Linked DNA regions of Sus scrofa. The protein of the gene in region 1 purifies or fractionates together with the protein of each later gene. This does not show direct contact. Links are inferred from orthologs where the notes say so. Each region holds a gene or a part of one and is shown in the gene's direction. Other genes may lie near its edges. The genes, in order: MED12 and VDR.

What was found.
Region 2: the proteins of MED12 (region 1) and VDR purify together in Homo sapiens (affinity purification with mass spectrometry; 3 studies listed by BioGRID, with this or other methods). This does not show direct contact. The link is inferred for Sus scrofa from reciprocal best matches to the Homo sapiens genes MED12 and VDR.

What each region holds. Positions count from the first base shown.
Region 1 is NC_010461.5:57,148,225-57,158,660, forward strand, and holds the start of MED12 (mediator of RNA polymerase II transcription subunit 12), read left to right. Parts: upstream 1-2,659; 5' UTR 2,660-2,858; coding exon 2,859-2,957; exon of another isoform or gene 2,958-3,018; intron 3,019-3,499; coding exon 3,500-3,604; intron 3,605-3,811; coding exon 3,812-4,003; intron 4,004-4,139; coding exon 4,140-4,299; intron 4,300-4,979; coding exon 4,980-5,161; intron 5,162-5,350; coding exon 5,351-5,461; intron 5,462-5,589; coding exon 5,590-5,844; intron 5,845-6,209; coding exon 6,210-6,356; intron 6,357-6,514; coding exon 6,515-6,614; intron 6,615-6,739; coding exon 6,740-6,876; intron 6,877-7,097; coding exon 7,098-7,229; intron 7,230-7,813; coding exon 7,814-7,940; intron 7,941-8,394; coding exon 8,395-8,624; intron 8,625-9,343; coding exon 9,344-9,424; intron 9,425-9,556; coding exon 9,557-9,727; intron 9,728-9,930; coding exon 9,931-10,075; intron 10,076-10,241; coding exon 10,242-10,292; intron 10,293-10,436. UniProt on the Homo sapiens protein: Component of the Mediator complex, a coactivator involved in the regulated transcription of nearly all RNA polymerase II-dependent genes.
Region 2 is NC_010447.5:78,203,794-78,213,599, reverse strand, and holds the end of VDR (vitamin D3 receptor), read left to right. Parts: intron 1-3,220; coding exon 3,221-3,372; coding exon of another isoform or gene 3,373-3,526; coding exon 3,527-3,643; intron 3,644-5,150; coding exon 5,151-5,410; 3' UTR 5,411-6,360; downstream 6,361-9,806.

The sequences.
Region 1 (10,436 bases):
TTTATTTAGTAAACATTTATTGAGACTTTAATATGTGCCAGGAAAAGACAAAAAAACAAAAACAAAAACAAAAAAAGGAGTTCCTGTTGTGGCGCAGTGGTTAACGAATCCGACTAGGAACCATGAGGTTGTGGGTTCGATCCCTGCCCTTGCTCAGTGGGTTAAGGATCCGGCGTCTGCCGTGAGCTGTGGTTTAGTTCGCAGACATGGCTCAGATCCCGCGTTGCTGTGGCTCTGGCGTAGGCTGGTGGCTACAGCTCTGATTAGACCCCTAGCCTGGGAACCTCCATATGCCGCAGGAGCAGCCCTAGAAAAAGCAAAAAGACAAAAAAATATATATATATATACATATATATGTGTGTGTGTGTGTGTGTGTGTGTGTGTGTATGTATGTATGTCAGGCACTGTGCTTATATTCTATCCACCCTAATTTTCTGTGGGTTAAAATTCCTCAGGGTTACCTCCTCCAATATGTTTTTCTCTCCCCAGTCAAAATTAATTTATCTTCCCATTGTGATTCAATAACATTTTCTTACTGTTACTTTCATTGGTTATTGGCTAGCTTTATAATTTTTATCTATTGTTATTTGTTAACCTGTATTATAACCCTCTTTTCTCTAAAAGGCAATACCATCATAAAAAGAATATCAAGTCAAGGAGTTCCCGTTGTGGCTCAGGAATTAATGAACCCTGCTAGTATCTATGAGGATGCCAGTTCAATCCCTGGCCTCGCTCTCTGGGTTAAGGATCCAGCATTGCTGTGAGCTGTGGCGTAGGTTGCAGACGTGGCTCAGATCTGGTGTGGCTGTGGCTGTGGTGTAGCACAGCTGCAACTTCCATTCGATCGCCAGCCTGGGAACTTCCAGGGATGCGGCCCTTAAAAAAAAAAAAAAAAAAAAAAAAAAAAAAAAAAAAAGTCAGGAAAAGTATGATATCACTGGATTTCCCATCGTGGCACAGTGGTTAACGAATCCGACTAGGAACCATGAGGTTGCGGGTTCGATCCCTGCCCTTGCTCAGTGGGTTAACGATCCAGCGTTGCCGTGAGCTGTAGAGCAGGTCGCGGACGCGGCTCGGATCCCGCGTTGCTGTGGCTCTGGCGTAGGTCGGCGGCTACAGCTCCGATTCAACGCCTAGCCTGGGAACCTCCATATGCCGCGGGAAGCGGCCTAGAAAAGACAAAAAAAAAAAAAAAAAGTATGATATCACTCATATGTGGAACCTGAAAAATGCAACAAACTAGTGAATGTAACAAAAAAGCAGATTCACAGATACAAAGAACCAACTAGGGGTTACACTGGGAGAAGCGAGAAGGGGGAAGGACAGTTTAGGTGTAGGAGACTATAAGATACAAACTATCACGTATAAAATGAGCTAAAAAGATATATTGTATAACATGAGGAATGTAGCCAATATTTTATAATTATGAATGGAGTATAACCTTTAGAAAATACGAACCACTATACTGTGCACCCGTAACTTATGCAATATTGTACACCAAATATACTTCAATTTAAAAAAGCAGGGGGAGTTCTTAGTGGGTTATAAACCTGACATACTAGTATCCATGAGGATTCGGGTTCCATCCCGGGCCTCACTTAGTGGGTTAAGGATCCTGTTGCAGTGGCTGTGGCTGTGGCAGGCAGCTGCAGCTCGGATTTGACCCTTAGTCTGGGAACCTCCATATGCTGAAGGTGCGGCCCTACAAAAAGCAAATAAAATTAAATTAAAAAGCAGGTAAAAAAATAGAATAGCCAATGATATGATATACCACTTAAAGAAGAGTCAAGGAAAAAAACCCTAGTCTCAGCTCTGTTATTCAGTAGCTATATAAACCAACTCCCACTCCTTGAGAATCAGCTTCCTCATCTACAAAATGGAGACAATAATAATCCCTAACACATGGGGCTTTTGTGGATTAAAAGAGATAATGTCTGAAAAGCATCTGATACTTAATAGGTGCCTCTTTCTATAGAGCAAGCGTTCTTAACCTGGAGTTCCTGAATCTTCGGAGTATATATGGATGAACTTCGTGGAGGGGTGTGTGTGTAAGAATCTCCGTGGAAAGTGTCTAACGTTTTGTATATCTCTACGTGCTTTTTTTTTTTTTTTTTTTTTCTGGGAAGAAGGGCCGTAGCTTCCACCGCATTTTAAAGGGACTTTGAATCAGAAGAGGTTAAGAACCTCAGTGCTAGACCATAGGGACCTTGAGGGATTAGAGCCGACCTTTGTGTGTGTGTGGGGGGGGGGGGGGTTAATATGTGTTTCCTTATGCATACATCGTTTCTAATCTTCACAACAGTCCCTTGAAGGAAGTGTTTGTTAGTACACCCATTTTTCAGATGCGGAACCTGAGAAATGAAGAAGCAGTTTGGAAAAGGCAGAGTTCCCAACAAACGCACAGACGATCAAGCACTTATTTATTCTAGGCCGGGAACGGAGGGAGGTGCTGGGAACGCAATTCTAACCGGAGCTCGGTGCGGTGGCCGCCTCCCGCCTCGCGGGTTCGCATCCCCAGTCCAGCACAGGGTTAGCGAATGTCGCAAAGATCTTGACTGAGTGAAGTCGATCTGCGGCCGCCGGGGCAGAAAAAGCTCCCCCGGCGCCGAGCTCCGCCCCACGCCGGGTGGGCCCCGCCCCCGTTCCCCCCCCTACCCCGCGGTCGGTATTGTCCGACGGTTCCCGGCGTCCCTCGGTTTACCTCGGTAGTTTCCGGCAATGATCGAGAGTTTCTAACGTGCCCCCTTGTTGTCTCTCGGCTGCCGTCCTCGCCTCCGCTGCCCCCCTTTTCGGCTCCCTCTCCCCCTCCCCCAGCGGCCGGGCCCGGCTGGCGCCTCTGGCGCTACGGGCTGGGCAAGATGGCGGCCTTCGGGATCTTGAGCTACGAACACCGGCCCCTGAAGCGGCCGCGGCTGGGGCCTCCGGATGTGTACCCTCAAGATCCCAAACAGAAGGAGGTACGTTCAAAAATCCGGGCTCCCCAGGGGCCGGGGGCCAGCGATCGGCAGAAGAGGAAGCACTGAAAGCTTGGCGGGGGGGGGGGGGGGCGGGGCGGTTCGCCGGGAGCGAAAGTCCCGAAAGGGGGAAGAGTAAAGTGGGCTGGCGTAGGAGAGTAGGATCTGGTGGGGGTGGGGGGTGGTTCCTGGGTGCCAGCTGGGAGTGATATCGGGGCCACGCTGGAGGCGCCCCCCTCTACACACACACACCTCAGAAAGTTGTCTGAGGCAGCTGGGTGAGCAACGGCTGCTCTGCTTCCAAGCTCGCAGGGGAAGAGTGCTGTTGAGTGAGCTCTGGGGGATTGGGAATCTTAGTGACTGTGGGGGTGAGGGTGGGGTCCAAATGAATGTTAGGGCCTAGCTTTAAATAACAATCTGTTCTACTCCGAATCCTCCTCCTCCCTTCCCCCCTCCCCATGTTCCCTTCTCTTCTGCCCTCTCCCACCACCAACCTTCCCCCCCCCCCCCGTGGCGGGGGCTAACATGTCGTTTTCCCGCTTTAGGATGAACTGACAGCCTTGAATGTAAAACAAGGTTTCAATAACCAGCCCGCTGTCTCTGGGGATGAACATGGCAGTGCCAAGAACGTCAACTTCAATCCTGCCAAGGTGAGACAACCCTGCCAAGCTGAAGGAAAAGGCTGGAAGAATTTGAGAAGGCGCAAAGGCCCTGGGTTGGGAAGACTTAAAGGGACCACCTAAATGGCTGAGTTTTCCTTCATAACCTCATGCTACCACATTGGCATTTGCCTATCAAAGGCACAACCACCTCTCTACCCCTTCTTCCCACCCTGAGGTGTAGTTTTCTTCCCTCAGATCAGTTCCAACTTCAGCAGCATTATTGCAGAGAAGTTACGTTGTAACACCCTCCCTGACACTGGTCGCAGGAAGCCCCAAGTGAACCAGAAGGACAACTTCTGGCTGGTGACTGCACGATCCCAGAGTGCCATTAACACCTGGTTCACTGACCTGGCTGGCACCAAGCCACTCACACAACTAGCCAAAAAGGTGAGATACCATTTCTTGTTCTTCAAGCCAGGGAGTGGAGTGTGGGTACCAAGCACCCTCCGATTCCCAGATTAAGCTACATGAATGCCAGCTCATGGGGGTAATGGAGGTCTCACTATTTGTGATGTCCGTCCAGGTCCCCATTTTCAGTAAGAAGGAAGAAGTGTTTGGGTACTTAGCCAAATACACAGTGCCTGTGATGCGGGCAGCCTGGCTCATTAAGATGACCTGTGCCTACTATGCAGCAATCTCGGAGAACAAGGTTAAGAAGAGAAATGTCGTTGACCCCTTCACGGGTGAGTAAGTCCTCTAACACCAGGGGTCCCACCACTGATCACTTCAAGCAGTGGTAGAGAGACCCTTGAGATTATTCTCCTTCCTCATCTATATTCCTTGCTTCTGCTTGTATCTTGCATTCACTCCATTAGTAAACATCGAGTATCTTGAGTACCTTCTCCGTGCATGTACTGGGCTATAAAGATAACCACTACTTAATCCCTGCCTTTAGGATGCTTAGAGTCTAGTAGGGATGCCAAGGCATATGTACAGATCCCGTGATTAAATATAGAACATAATGTCAAAAGTGGAGGCAAGGAGTTCCCTAGTGGTGCAGCAGGTTAAGGATCCAGCATTGTCACTGCCATGGCACAGGTTCCATCCCTGGCCGGGAAACGTCTGCATGCTGCGAGCACAGCCAAAATTTTTAAAAATATGTAAATTAATTAATAAATAAAAATATGTAAGTTAATAAAATAAACATAAAAAATGGAGGCAGAAGGTTTCTTTGAGACTCAGTGAACAGAAAGATTACTTTCTTTTGGAGACACCTGGAAAGGCTTTAGGAAGGTGGCATTTGACTAGAGCCTAAGGGGCTGAATAGGATTTAGAAGTATGGTGACTGTGGACGGGAGCAGGGGACAAGATGTTCTAAGCAGAGGGACAGTATAAAATAGCCGTTTTCCCATCTTTCCCCTAGAGTGGACTCAGATCATCACCAAGTACTTATGGGAGCAGCTGCAAAAGATGGCTGAATACTACCGGCCAGGGCCTGCCGGAAGTGGGGGCTGTGGTCCCACTGTAGGGCCCTTGCCCCATGATGTAGAGGTGGCGATCTGGCAGTGGGACTACAACGAGAAGCTGGCCATGTTCATGTTTCAGGTAGGAAGGAGAGCTTGTTATAGGGCGTGGGATTGAGCCTGATCTCACACTCTGCCAGCATAGAACAGAATCGGCCTGCCACCTTGCCCCACTTGTGTGGTTCTCTTCATCCTTTCATTTACTTTCTCTGCCTCATCTTGAATAGTCCCTAGGCAAAGCTAATCCTCTTCCCACCCCTGGTGCCCACAGGACGGAATGCTGGACAGACATGAGTTCCTGACCTGGGTACTTGAGTGCTTTGAGAAAATCCGCCCTGGAGAGGATGAATTGCTTAAACTGCTGCTGCCCCTGCTGCTTCGAGTAAGGCCTAGGATTTGGCCAGGGGGTAGGGGTGGGGGAGCATCTAGGGAGGATGTGAGGAGGAGTAAGACGTGAGAGCAGTGTCTCTTGGAAAGAACTGGGGGGTTTTGATCGTCATGTCTTCACAGTACTCCGGGGAATTTGTTCAGTCTGCATACCTCTCCCGCCGCCTTGCCTACTTCTGTACCCGGAGACTGGCCCTGCAGCTGGATGGTGTGAGCAGTCACTCGTCTCATGTGATGTCTGCTCAGTCAACAAGCACACTACCCACCACCCCTGCTCCTCAGCCCCCAACTAGCAGCACACCCTCTACACCCTTTAGTGACCTGCTTATGTGTCCTCAGCACCGACCCCTGGTTTTTGGCCTCAGCTGTATCCTTCAGGTAGGTACTCGGTGGGCCTATGGAAGTATTAAGAGACCTCTTGAGAAGAATTAGGTGCCTGTCCTGGAAAATAGGGGGATTCTAAATTGGAGGTGAGAGTAGGCACTGAGTACTTGCTTGGAAATTGTTGGCTGCTCATTCATGGGGCGATAGTTCCTTTTCAGGTAGTTCCCTTCCAGGTCTACATAGTAGGCCCAAAGCCTTTGGAGGAGAGTGGATGAGGGGAGGGGCTCAGAGATGGAGTGATGCCACCCTAGGGACTCAGAATAACTTTGGATTGGAAATCGAAGCATTGGGTCTTATGATGGGCTTCTGGAAAGGTAGCCATGGTAACCGAGTTTGACTTAGCTGTTCCTGTCTGGCAGACCATCCTCCTGTGTTGTCCTAGTGCCCTGGTTTGGCACTACTCGCTGACTGATAGCCGAATCAAGACTGGCTCACCACTCGATCACCTGCCTATTGCCCCCTCCAACCTGCCCATGCCAGAGGGCAACAGTGCCTTCACTCAGCAGGTAAGTTGGACCAGTAGCCTGCTTACCGCAGGTTTGGATATAGAGGCTGAAGTTACTCTTTCAGAACTAGTGACTTGGAGCCTACTACTATGCTTTTAGCCTGGAGCCCTAGCCTTTTTGTATGCTTTGCTCCATCCTTAAAACCTTCCTTTTGGCAGGTCCGTGCAAAGTTGCGGGAGATCGAGCAGCAGATCAAGGAGCGAGGACAGGCCGTTGAGGTTCGCTGGTCTTTTGATAAGTGCCAGGAAGCTACTGCAGGTGGGTGCCAGAGGACAGGCAGTAAGAAGGGTGTTTGAGGAAAGGGTGGGGATGGTAATGACATATAGATCTGAGAGTCAGAGTAAGCCTCTGGTTAAGTCCCCTTTACCGCTTTTCCTCTTTAGGCTTCACCATTGGACGGGTGCTCCATACTTTGGAAGTGCTGGACAGCCATAGTTTTGAGCGCTCTGACTTCAGCAACTCTCTTGACTCCCTCTGTAACCGAATTTTTGGATTGGGGCCCAGCAAGGATGGACACGAGGTAATAAGCAAGACGGGGAAGAGGAGGGAAAAACAGCAAGAGCACCAGTACATTTGACGGGAAGGAGGGGTGAGGCACTAAAACTAGAGGATGTCTGAAGAGACAGATGGTCTTACTGGGCCTAGAATGTTTTAAGATGGGGCCCAATCGCTGGGAAATTGGAACTCAGTTTTTTGTCCCCAACTCTGCCTTACTCACCTCCGTCTTCCTTTGGTCTCCAGATCTCCTCAGATGATGATGCTGTGGTATCATTACTGTGTGAATGGGCTGTCAGCTGCAAGCGTTCTGGTCGGCATCGCGCTATGGTGGTAGCCAAGCTGCTGGAGAAGAGACAGGCAGAGATCGAGGCTGAGGTTAGGGGGCCCGGCAGGGAGTGGCAGCTGGGCCTGGAGCCAGATTGAGCTGATAGTGGGACCAATGTTGAAGGTGTGAGAGTAAGAAGTGGTTAGAGAACGTACAGGGAAAGTGGAGGACATGAGGCAAAAATAGAAATGAGTGGATCAGTGTCAGAGTTAGAGAAGTGATCAAGGCTGCAGTTGGAGGCGCTAAAGAAAATAGGAGTCAAGGAGTTCTCATCGTGGCTCAGTGCTAAGGCACCCGACTCGTGTCCATGAGGACTTGGGTTCCATCCCTGGCCTCACTCAGTGGGTTAAGAATCTGGCGTTGCCGTGAGCTGTGGTGTGGGTCACAGACACGGCTTGGATCCTGCGTTGCTGTGGCTGTGGTGTGGGCTGGCGGCTACAGCTCCGATTAGATGCCTAGCCTGGAAACCTCCATATGCCACAGGTGTAGCCCTAAAAAGACTAAAAACAAAGAAAGAAAAGAAAATGGGAGTCAACAGGGGGACGTGGAGATAGGCAGTTGTTCAAGGATTGTACGTGGATGAGTGAAGAAACAGATAAAACCCAGCCCTATGGTTTGTCCTCTCATTTTATAGCGTTGTGGAGAATCAGAAGCCGCAGATGAGAAGGGTTCCATTGCCTCTGGCTCCCTTTCTGCACCCAGTGCTCCCATTTTCCAGGATGTCCTCCTGCAGTTTCTGGACACACAGGCTCCCATGCTGAGTATGGACCCCTGCTACTTTCTGGTTACCTCTGCCTAGACTCCCTTACCCACCCCTGTCATCAGAAAGCATAATGAAAGGCCTTCTGAGATATAATCTTAGCTTGAGCTCTATGCAGAATGTCTTTGGACATAATTCTAGTCTTTGATCATCTTACAGTTTAACAGAGTAGAGAAATAAAGAGTAGAATAAAAACAAGTGCTTAGGATCGGAGCGTTTTCATGTATAAATAGCAGAAATGCTGTGTTCCTTTATTAGATGGGGGGGCAGGAGGTAGGATAACCAAGCATACTTTGTCCCTCAACAGTTTGGGGGGCGTTGGGGGGTTTTGAGTCATTCCTATTCCTGCCTATTTCAGGTACCCTAGGAGCATCTTACCTTAGATGTGTCCCTCTCGCTTTCTGCCCATGTCTTCCATGCTCCCTTACTCATCTTTTCTCATTCCCTCCCTCCAGCGGACCCCCGAAGTGAGAGTGAGCGGGTGGAATTCTTTAACTTGGTACTGCTCTTCTGTGAACTGATTCGACACGATGTTTTCTCCCACAACATGTACACTTGCACCCTCATCTCCCGAGGGGACCTTGCCTTTGGAGCCCCTGGTCCCCGGCCTCCCTCTCCCTTTGATGACCCTGCTGATGACCCTGAGCGCAAGGAGGCTGAGGGCAGCAGCAGCAGCAAGCTGGAGGTGAGCTGGCTTTTCCTCACCCTAGATTGTTTCTTCCTGTACAGTCCCCTCTTCCTGGCTCCTGAAGTAATCTGAGGATCCTTTACCCAGTGATGAGGGTAGGATTTGCTTAGCGCTTCATAGTTTATTTACCAAGCACTCTCACATCATTTTATTATTATTATTATTATTATTTGATCCTCACAACTGCCTCGTTGAGGTATTGTTATCATTTTTTTGTCTTTTTTTTTTTTAGGGCCACACCCAAAGCATACGGAGGTTCCCAGGCTAGGGGTCAAATCAGAGCTACAGCTGCTGGCCTAGGCCACAGCCACAGCACCACGGGATCCAAGCTGCGTCTGTGACCTACACCACAGCTCATGGCAACACTGGATCCTTAACCCACCAAGCAAGGCCAGGGATCGAACCTGCATCCTTATGGATACTAGCTGGGTTTGTTACTGCTGAGCTACAACGGGAACTCCTGTTATTCTCATTTTAAAGCTGAATGAGTAAATCAACTGTAATGGAAAAAATAAAAATCATAAAATAAAAAAAGTAAAATAACGCTAAATGAAACCAAGGCCTATGGGGGCTAAGTGATCAGTCAAGGCTTGGATGTGGATCTTGTGCTCTTCCCAGTATGGTGTCCTGTCTCCAACTTCTGAGTCGACTTTTCTGGATGGTGGGGAGCAGCTCCTTGGGGCTAATGCGACTCTGCTTCTGTTCTCTGCCCTCAGGATCCAGGGCTCTCAGAGTCTATGGATATCGACCATAACTCCAGTGTGATCTTTGAGGACATGGAGAAGCCTGATTTCTCAGTAAGTTATATCCTGGTGTGGAAGAATCCAGCTCCCAGACACCTCCCACTGTGCCACTTTGGGGAGTTTCTTTATGCCCCCTCTTCCGTTTTGTCTTCCTCTAACCGTTCTGCCCTTTCGCCTTTCTCGTAGTTGTTCTCCCCTACTATGCCCTGTGAGGGGAAGGGCAGTCCGTCCCCTGAGAAACCAGATGTTGAGAAGGAGGTGAAGCCCCCACCCAAGGAGAAGCTAGAAGGGACCCTTGGGGTTCTTTATGACCAGCCACGGCATGTGCAATATGCCACGCACTTTCCCATCCCCCAGGTACCGTTCCCCACCACTTTGTGACCCTCTGTTCTGAGCCCAGGTTTCTGTCCAAGGACTGTGCCATGGGGTTGGAGCTGTTCTTGAGGGTGTGGTATGCTGGGCAGGGCTTGAGCACTGGGATGCTGAGGGGCGTGGAGCATGCTTTTTAAGAGGAGGGAGAGCAGTTCGTGCCGGAGTCTGATGGTGCCGCTGGGATGCAGGAGGAGTCATGCAGCCATGAGTGCAACCAGCGGTTGGTCGTACTGTTTGGGGTGGGAAAGCAGCGAGATGATGCCCGCCATGCCATCAAGAAAATTACCAAGGATATCCTGAAAGTTCTGAACCGCAAGGGGACAGCGGAAACTGGTGGGTTTGAGGTGCCTTAAACAGATCTCCCCCAAAGAGTGCCCTAGTCAGTCTCCCCTTCCCCAGCATAGGGAACTCCCAGTCATGTCCCGATGTCCTGTCTCTTGGAGTCTCCTGAGAGCTCTAGTCCTTTTGAAACTTCCCCCCTCATTCCCCCCCTCTGCAGACCAGCTTGCTCCTATTGTGCCTCTGAATCCTGGAGACCTGACATTCTTAGGTACCTCACAGTAAGCCCCATACTGCCCGCCCTCCCTCTCCCTTCCCTCCCTCAACCTAGCACCTCCCTGTACGTATTCCTCTAAGGTCCACATAGTCTGTGGTCCTCCAAACCTGTGCTTCACTGTCCCCTTCCCTTCAGCCC
Region 2 (9,806 bases), on another chromosome or scaffold:
CAGTTCTGGCTTCGAGCTGGCTCGTAGAAATTCCCTGTATTTCCAGCCCATGGGTAGTAATTTGAGGTTGTTCTAGGTTGGCTTTCATAGCAGGAGTATGTCTGGATCACAGCAGCCAGTGAAATCTCTCTGGCCAAACACGCATGGGATATTCGTTCATTTCTGGCCATCCGTTTTGAGGGGGCCCTTGAACAAAAGGTTACGTATAAAGATATTCCTCACAGAATTACTTATAATAGCAAAACTTCAAAGCAGCCCAAATACCCCAAAGTAAGTGACTGGGAGATTGATAAATAACTTATAGAGTGTGTTGATATAACGTGATGCAACCCACCATGAACTAACGTAGGAAGTGAGACACAGGGTCACTGTGACCTCCTACATGTTAAGAAAGAGATATTTGCGGAGTTCCCGTTAGGGTTCAGCGGATTAACAACCCAACTAGTAAAAAGAGGATGCGGGTTCGATCCCTGGCCTCACTCAGGGGTTAAGGATCCAGAGCTGCCGCAAGCTGTGGTATTGGTTGCAGGTGTGGCTCGGATCTGGCGTTGCTGTGGCTGCGGTGTAGGCTGGCAGCTGTAGCTCTGATTCGCCCCCTAGCCTGGGAACTTCCCTATGCTGCCTGTGCAGCTCTAAAAGGAAAAGAGAGAGAGAGAGATTTGCATAAAAAACAGGAAGAAAATAAACCAGAATGTTCATCATGGTTTTGAGCAATTTTTATTTGTTTTCATTTTCTGCAAAGATTTAATAATCGAATGTTTTACTGTATAATGAATTAAAACCCAAAGAAGGGTGATGTTAGTTTTTCTTTTTCAAGTGTGGATTGAAGAGTTCTCTTGTGGTGCAGTGGGTTAAGGACCCAGCATTGTCACTGCAGTAGCTTGGGTCACTGCTATGGTATGGGTTCGATCCCTGGCCTGGGAATTTCACATGCCACGGGCATGGCCAAAAAAACAAAAACAAAATGTGGACTGAGCGCCCAGAAAAAGGTGGCAAGGATGGCAAGACGTCATCAGGGCTATTTATCCCAGGAAAGATGCCAAGAGGAAATAGTGTCTTTCTTTAAATGGTGAGAGGAATGTCCCATAAGTGATGGAGAAGTCGGAGTTCTATGTTCCTTGAGAGGATGGAACTATGAGCAAGATGACTGTGTCATCGTGTGGGTTAGAGCTCAATAGAAGCCCAAGAGGCGCTTCACCCACAGCACGGCGTGGCTGTATCCCTGGCCCTGGGGGGATCCTGCACAGGCTGTGTGAGCACCATCTGCTGGGAGTGCTGAGGGAGGAACTGGACCACACAGCGTTGAAGGGGGGCCTCCCAATGCTGGCACTGTGAGATTTTCCTTCACTGCGCTTTGGTGGCCATCCTAATCAGGCAAGCCTTTTCACGCCTCCTCATCCATCACTTGCTGATACAGGGCCCACATCTGTTAACTCCGTTTCCCACTTTTTTTATATTCCAAAGTGCAGCCACAGAAGTTGACAGCCCATCGCAGGATATCCAGGAGGAAACATATAGTCAGAAAGGGAGGAAAATCCGGAAGCGATTTAATCCGTGGGCCCTGCTTTCTCCCTGTCATGGTTCAGACAAGCCCAGCTCGTGACTCAGAATAATGGAACTAGTCATCAGCCTCTTGACTCATCGACACCTAGTTATTGACACTCTCCTAGTGCTCAGGGTTCAACGTTCAATGTGAGGGCAACACTAAGGTAATTAAGAGGTGGTGCTGACCCTCAAGTAGCTCAGAGACAAGCACCTAAAGGACAGAGGTGAAGGGGAAAGGGCAAAATACCAGCAATGTACGAGCCACGTGCAGCAGGTCATAAAGGAATGGCTCTCATTCGATGAAGAGAATCAGAGAGTGGAGGACCCAAGAGAGACCTTCTAGATTCAGGACCAGAAAGACCAGGTGGAGCAGAAGAAGACAGGTGCTCCACGCGGGAGCCGTCCCATGTTCAAGGGCATGGCAGTGGCGTGAGAATGCATCACCTGAATGTGGAGTGTCCCACAGTTTAGAAGGGAGGGTTGGTGGAGCCTGCGATGGGAAGGGGGTCTGGAAAGACAGGTTGGAACCAAGTTATGGAGTACGGGCTTGAGCCCGGGGCGTTTGATAGTCTGTGCAGATTTCTGAGCACAGGAGTGACACTTTCCTGTAGCAGCGGTAAGAAAGGTGCACTAGAAACTTGACCCCAGGATTCTAGTAAGAGGCAACTGAAAGACATGAGGGAGCTCTGAATCAGAGCAGTCAGAGGAGTGGGAACGGGGTCCAGAGATGCTGGGCGTCACTCGGGGGAAGGACCAGAGGACAGGAGAGAGAGGGAGAGAAAGCATGGGAGCCACTGGGATGGCTCTAACATGTTTATTTTGTTTGTTTGTTTGTGGTTTTTTGTCTTTTTGCTATTTCTTTGGGCCGCTCCCACAGCACATGGAGGTTCCCAGACTAGGGGTCGAATCGGAGCTGTAGCCGCTGGCCTACACCAGAGCCACAGCAACGCGGGATCCGAGCCGCATCTGCAACCTACACCACAGCTCACGGCAACGCCAGATCCTTAGCCCACTGAGTAAGGGCAGGGATCGAACCCACAACCTCATGGTTCCTAGTCGGATTCGTTAACCACCGCGCCACGACGGGAACTCCTCTACCATGTTTTGCAGACCACCTTAGTCATGCCGTGGCCCTGAGAGCTTCCTCAAGCTCTCTCTTCATAACCCCAGAAGAGCTGTGGCTGCTTAGACCTGGGACACCCCAAAAAGTCACTGAGTAGCTGAGCTGATCCAGCTGGCATTTGGTCACAGTCTTGAGTTGTTCGCAAGTTGTTCTCCCTCAAGAAACAAGTCTTCTTCTTTCCAACCAGGCTGCAAGCTCCTCAGTGGAGGAGCTGGGCCCATGCTGGGCACCTGGCAGGTGTATACCTGTCAAAACACTGCACTAATTTACATGACTTGAAGGTCTCGGCGTCCCATTGTGGTTCAGTGGGTTAAGAACCTGACTAGAATCCATAAGGATGCAGGATCGATTCCTGGCCTCGCTCAGTGGGTTAAGGATCTGGCATTGCTGTGGCAGTGGTGAGGGCTGGCAGCGGCAGCTCCCATCCGACCCCTAGCCCGGGAACTTCCATATGCCACAGGTGCAGCCCTAAAAAGAACCAAAAGGAGAGAGAGAGAGAGAAGGTGCTGCCCAGTAAAGGAACCTGACCTCCACCTCTCCCCTCCCTGGCAGGGACCTCACCGCTGAGGACCAGATCGTGCTGCTGAAGTCAAGTGCCATCGAGGTCATCATGCTGCGCTCCAACCAGTCCTTCACCATGGACGACATGTCCTGGACCTGTGGCAGCCGGGACTACAAGTACCAAGTCAGCGACGTGGCCAAAGGTGCGTCTGGGCTCTGCCTCCGCCTGCCCCAGCTCCACCCCTCCTGGGGTCCAGGGCCCCACCAGGCACATCCGAGGGAGCAATGTCAGGCTGGATGTGGGGTGCGGGGGGCGTCCTGTGGGTGCCCACAGCAGCTGGCCATCCTCTCTCGCAGCCGGACACAGCCTGGAGCTGATCGAGCCCCTCATCAAGTTCCAGGTGGGGCTGAAGAAGCTGAACCTGCACGAGGAGGAGCACGTGCTGCTCATGGCCATCTGCATCGTCTCCCCAGGTACTCGCAGTGAGGACGTGGGACCTGGGATGTGGGGAGCGTGCAGGTGAAGCCCCACTGAAGACCAGCGGGAAGTTTGGAGGGAGGAGTGAGCAAAAGGAGAGAACGACAGGGAAACCTGGCTTTTGCTGGGTTTGCACAGCCAGGGTGGTGTGTGTATGTTGAGGGTTCCCTCACTGCCCTTGGCCTTGGCCTTTCCCTAGTGAAACCATTGCTGGTTCATGGGAGGGATTTTGAGGAGCCAGATAGATGGAGTTTCTTTTTTTCTTTCTTTCTTTCTCTTTCTTTCTTTTCTGTGTGTGTGTGTATGTGTGTGTGTGTGTGTGTCTTTTGTCTTTTCAGGGCCACACCTTCAGCATATGGAGGTTCCCAGGCTAGGGGTCGAATCAGAGCTATAGCTGCCGGCCTACACCACAGCCACAGCAACACAGGATCCTTAAGCCCCTAAGCAAGACCAGGGATCGAACCCGCAACCTCATGGTTACTCGTCAGATTCATTTCCACTGCACCACAAAGGGAACTCCTAGATGGAGTGTCTCAGGCCACAGACAGGCCTGTGTGAACTGGACTGACCTCCCTGACCCTTGAGGTCCCCTGAGGTCAGGGCACAAAACCCTGGGGCCCAATAGATGTTCTGCTGGCTGGACATCTGGCCTGATGGACAGTTGAGCTGACTGATTTTGGAGGCGGGATGCCGTCAGTCTTGAGCTCTTCTGCCTGTTTGGGGTGGAAAGAGGGAGACAGGCTGAGGAGGAGGGTCTTGTGGTCCCGGGGACTCTAGACACTGGTGAGGCCTCCCCCTGGACTGTGTTTGGGGAACAAACTAGTGGCTGCCATCCAGGGATGCTTTCCTGGGCTGGGGCCCGAGGGAAGGACCTGGGCACCCTCCTCCCGCCCAGTGAGCCCTCCCCAACTCATCCATTCATTTGTTCCCTCGGCAGTGATTTACTGGGCTCCTGTCAGGTACCAGGCACTGTGCTGGGCATAGAGACTCAGCAGCAAACAGGACGCAGACCTCTCCCACCAAGTGTAGGAGGAGACATCAAACACACGCCATTGTACAGCCAGTTCCTAGGAGTTCCCACTGTGGCTCAGCGGGTTAAGAACCTGACATAGTGTCCATGAGGATGCAGGTGTGAGCCTTGGCCTCGGTCAGTGGGTTAAGGATCCAGCGTTGTCGTGAGCTGTGGTGTAGAACCAGTGTTGCTGAGGCTGTGGTGCGGGCCAGCAGCTGCAGCTCTGATTTGACCCCTAGCCTGGGAACTTTCAGGCATGGCCTGAAAAAGCAAAAAAAATTTAAAAAAAAAAAAAAAAAAGGCAATAGAGAGTGGTTGAGATGTTGGGGAGGACTCTGGTGTCGCAGGTCAGCAGCCATCAGGAGTGATGGATGGATTCGGAGGTTAGGTGTCCATCTATGTGGGCTGAGGCATGAGGGGAGTGGATCGAACAGGGAGGGGCCCAGCTCAGATCTCCTGTGCCACCCCCACCCCACCCTCTCTGCCCACAGACCGTCCCGGGGTGCAGGACCCCACGCTGATCGAGGCCATCCAGGACCGCCTGTCCAACACGCTGCAGACCTACATCCGCTGCCGCCACCCGCCCCCGGGCAGCCACCTGCTCTACGCCAAGATGATCCAGAAGCTGGCCGACCTGCGTAGCCTGAACGAGGAGCACTCCAAGCAGTACCGCTGCCTCTCCTTCCAGCCCGAGTGCAGCATGAAGCTCACACCCCTTGTGCTTGAGGTGTTTGGCAACGAGATCTCCTGACTAGGGCAGCCTGCGGTGGCACCCGGCCGGGGCTGCCTCTCTGGGGCCCTGCGCCCAGGCCTGGGGTGGGCGTCTGGCCAGCAGCCCTCCCCACCCCCTCTGGAGTTCAGCCCCTCCTCTGCCACCTCCCCTCCCCGCCTGGCCCATCCTCTCTCCTGCCACAGGCTGCTCCCACTCCCACGAGACCTCCGTTATGAGGAGTTGCTGTTTATTTGACAGAGAAACTCAAGTGGGGGCAGAGGGCAGAGGCTGAGGACCCGGGGACGCCCCCGCTGCTCCAGAAGCGGCTGCTGGTGATGCCGAGGGAAAAGGCAGGCAGGAGAAATAGCCCCTTCCTCAGGGACAGAGACACCCGTACCTCCACCCCACTCCAGGCCCCCGTGTCCAGAGCCTGGTGGGATCTTCCTTCTTCCGCCTCATCCACGGCACGTACTGACCCACAGCCCCACCTCATCCTGCTGCCAGTCTGCGCTGTTCCGTCCCCAGGCAGCGAGCCACCAGGGGGCCTTGGCCCTCTGCCTGTCCAGGACACTCACTGCCAAGGATGACCAAAACCAGGGTGACGAAGGTCACAAATCCATCTCTGCTGCCCAAAGGGCACATGCCTAAGCCCTCCGTGCCCACCTTCCTCTCATCCCTATGGTAACGTTGTCCCCGGAAGGAGCTGTGGTAAGACAGGCTGCCTCCCCACGGCTGGGGACACTGGCCCAGAACCCACCTGCCAAGAGGCCCAGGAGGGAAGAGAGCAGGGCCCAGGCGGGGGGATTTGGGGGAGGCAGGCACATCCAGCCTCATGGAAGAGTGGTAGACAGAGGCCTCACCTGTCCTGTGGTGGAGCCCGTGGCTCTGCAGCCTGGATCTGAGGGGGTAGCCAAGGCGGGAGTTCTCCTTCTGACAACCCACATGGCAAGACTGACGGGCACCCAGGCTTCAGAGAAGCGCTGGACTCTGTCATCCTCCCCTGCCAGTGCCTTACCTCTGCTCCCTGAGAGAGGACCAGACCGGCTGCAGGCTCCCCTCACACAGCAGCCGTGGGCACCCAAGGGGCCTAACCCTGGGATGGCCAAGGGTGGTGACCCAGAGGTCAGCCCACTGTCCCCACCCCACCCCACAGTCTGGGGAAGCAGTGCCGCTCTGCCTACCAGCAGGGCCTCGTCTTTCCCACCTGGCCCGGCGCCCAAGCCATGCCCTCCCTGCCCACCACTGCCTGCTTCCAACACCGCCGTTCCCCCAAGAAGCAGGAGCCAGTGCCCCGGCCCCCGGGGTGGGGGTGGAGGGGGGGGTGAGAGACAGCGGGTTGGTCTGCTGTCCAGCCCGAGGGAGTGGGGCTGGTTCCTTCCGCTCCCATCGCACCACTGTGACGTCAGAGGTGGGTCCTTCCCACATCCAGAGGCACTCAGGAGGGGGCACTCCTGGCCCCGGGACCTCTGGGCTTCCACGGGGGTGTGAGCCGCAGGCCTGTGGGAGGGGGGCAGACAAGGTTCTCCCAGGAATCACAGAGGGTTCTTCAGCTCCTACGGAGGTTTCTGTCTCAGCAGGACACCCCCCCCCCGCCCCCGGCCCTGCACCTGCTGTTCACTACAGACCCCAGGAGCCAACGACTTACCACTGCAACCGCTGGGACAGCCGCCAGGGCCCGCCTGGCCAGTGCTTTCTCCATCTGGCAGCCACGTTCCTACTGCCGGCCACCGTCCTAAGACTCAGTCTGATGCTGATTAGATGGGGGTTGTCTTCCGAATCAGGCTCCATTGTGGTACCACGTGCTAATCTAGCCGGTGGTAGGGACCACAGGTGAAGCGAGATTTACGGGACCAGGGACTTAACATGGTGAAAATTCTATATCTTAATCATTGCTGTTGTTAGTTTACAAAGCAGGGAGAAGTGGGATTTGATTTTAGCTGCCGAACCTGTTGGCCCGGCTGCTAGTCAGCAGAAGAAAAAGCTGGAAAATCACTAACCCAGTTCGACCCCCTGGTTAAAGAAAACTGATGCTGAGAGGAGGGCGTGACTCACCCAAGCTCAAGGAACTAGTTAGAAGCAGCCCCAGGGCTGCACCCCAATTTGGACTTAGGGTTCAGTGCTCGTTTCGCTATACCACGCTTGAGCTCAGACCCCATGTCCCACTTCCCTAGAGGAGGACCTTTCCCTGGGGGAAGCCCTGGGCTTTCGACAGAGCAAGTCCAGATCCCAGACCCCTGCCTTGCTTCCCTTGGTTGTCACCCCACTGACTGACCCATCAGGGGGAGGAGAAGGGACACCTCAGCCTGTGTCAATGTGAATCGGACCCCCGCCCCTCTGTGGCCCTGGCTGGATGGGGTCTCCGCCTCAGCCCTGTATGATGCTGTTGCCTCATCAATAAAGTGCATTTGTCTTTGTACCGTCTCCGCCTTCCCAAAGCTCGTCTGGCCCTGCCTTCCCCAGGGGACCCCACGGGACACTGAACACCAGTGCCTCAGCTCTGGGGCACACAACAGTCCAGTCCAGTCCCTAAGTAAAATCTAGGAGCTGAGAGGAAAAGAAAAGAGAAAAAGTGAGGTTTCCTGGGACTAAATTGGGAAAAGATGTTATCACCTCTTTTGCTTTAAAATGAAAGAATGAGAGCTCCCATTGTGGCTCAGTCTGTTAAGAACCTGACTAGTATCCGTGAGGATGCGGGTTTGACCCCTGACCTCACTTAGTGGATTAAGGATCGGGCCTTGCCGTGAGCTGTGGTGTAGGTCACAGATGCCACTCGAATCCACGTTGCTGTGGCTGTGGTGTAGGCTGGCAGCTACAGCTCTGATTCAACCTGCAGGCCAGAAGCTTCCATATGCCATGGATGCAGCCGTAAAAAGAAAAAAAATAAAACGAGAGAACACAAAGGTAGATATTTATAAATCTCAAACTTTTAAAGTATATTATTGGAGGAGTTACCTGGTGGCTCAGCGGGTTAAGGATCCTGCAGCTTTGTCACTTCTGTGGCTATAGTTACTGCTGTGGCTCAAGTTCAATCCTCAGCCCAGGAACTTCTGTGAGCCGTGGGTGCAGCCAATAAGTAAGAAAGTATATTATTGGAAAGCAGGAAAGTGTGCCCCAAAATGCCAACTACCTAAACAAGATTCCAGGAGATAGGAAAACCCTTCTCGGGCTGACTGGAAGCGGTAGGAAAAACCAAAAGAGGCCAACAGGGAAGCTGGGGAAGTGCAGCAGACCTGGTGGAAGCCAGAATTAAATATGGTGGCAGGATGGCTTTGAAGAGTGCCTCCTGAGTGACTTTCAAAGAGAAACCATGTGCCGGAAATTTGTCCAATAAACCAGTGAAGAGAGCTTTGCATATGGCAATAAAATGGCTCATACTTCCATAGCGCTTACTCTGGGCAGGTACTGCTGTCAATAAAAGCTTTATGCAAACCAGCCTGCCTTGTCCTTGTAAGGACCCCAGAGGAGATGGACCGCTATTACCCTTACTGAGCAGAGCAGAGAATGTGCCTAAAGCCACACTGGTAGGAAGCGAGAGACCGGCCTTGAAGCCTTGGCAGCCGGCTCCCGGCAGCCACTGATTAGCTGCTAACTGCAATGCTTCCTATTGAGCTGAGGGGCCTGACAAAACAGCTGGTCGGGCCAGCTCTCTATTAAAAAGCCTACAAGGGATGGAGTTCCTGTTGTGGCACAGGAGGCTGTCAGACCCGTCCTTTTGGCTTTAGGGACTGGGCAACAATAGTCCCTGGAGCTCCCTCCAGGGGAAGGAGTTTCCAGTCTCTTCTCTGCTCTGGACTACCAGGTGGTTTGGGGTTTTTTCCCAAATTGTGTTGAGCATCACCACTAGGTGGTGCTACTGTGCTACACAGACAGATTTGAGCTGCTGGCCTGGCTGCTCTCCCCTCTCCTCCATCTCCCACTCCTGCTTTTCTCCATCTCTGTGAAAGGCCCCTGAAGCCCTGTGCCGGGGGCCTCTGACCACCTTCCGTGCTGATCCCCGTTTCCCTCTGAGGTCCGGCCTGGTCGTGCAGTCCTGAGATGTCTCCAAGCACAGACATGGCGCTGCGCTCAGTGCCAGCAATGAATAGGACAGTCACTGCCCCCAAGAAAGGCACAGTCCAGTGGGAGAAGGCAGACGTGCAAACAGACCATCAGCAAGCAGCGCAAGCAGAAGCTGAACACGTAACAGCATAAACGGCTGGGTCCCTCTCCCTGTCCTGGGCCTCCTGCTACTTGTGTGACCTTGGGCAAGTGACTTAATATTTTGAGCCTCGGCATCTTCACCTATACAATGGCAACAAGAACAGGTCGCGTCTAGGTTTGCCGTTGGGATATAATCTGTGTAAATTACTACCACGGTACCTGGGCGTGAGTCATACATGCCGGCCAGCCTCATCATTAGGTTGCAGAGTGGAGGGATGGTCAATTAGGTGTTCAT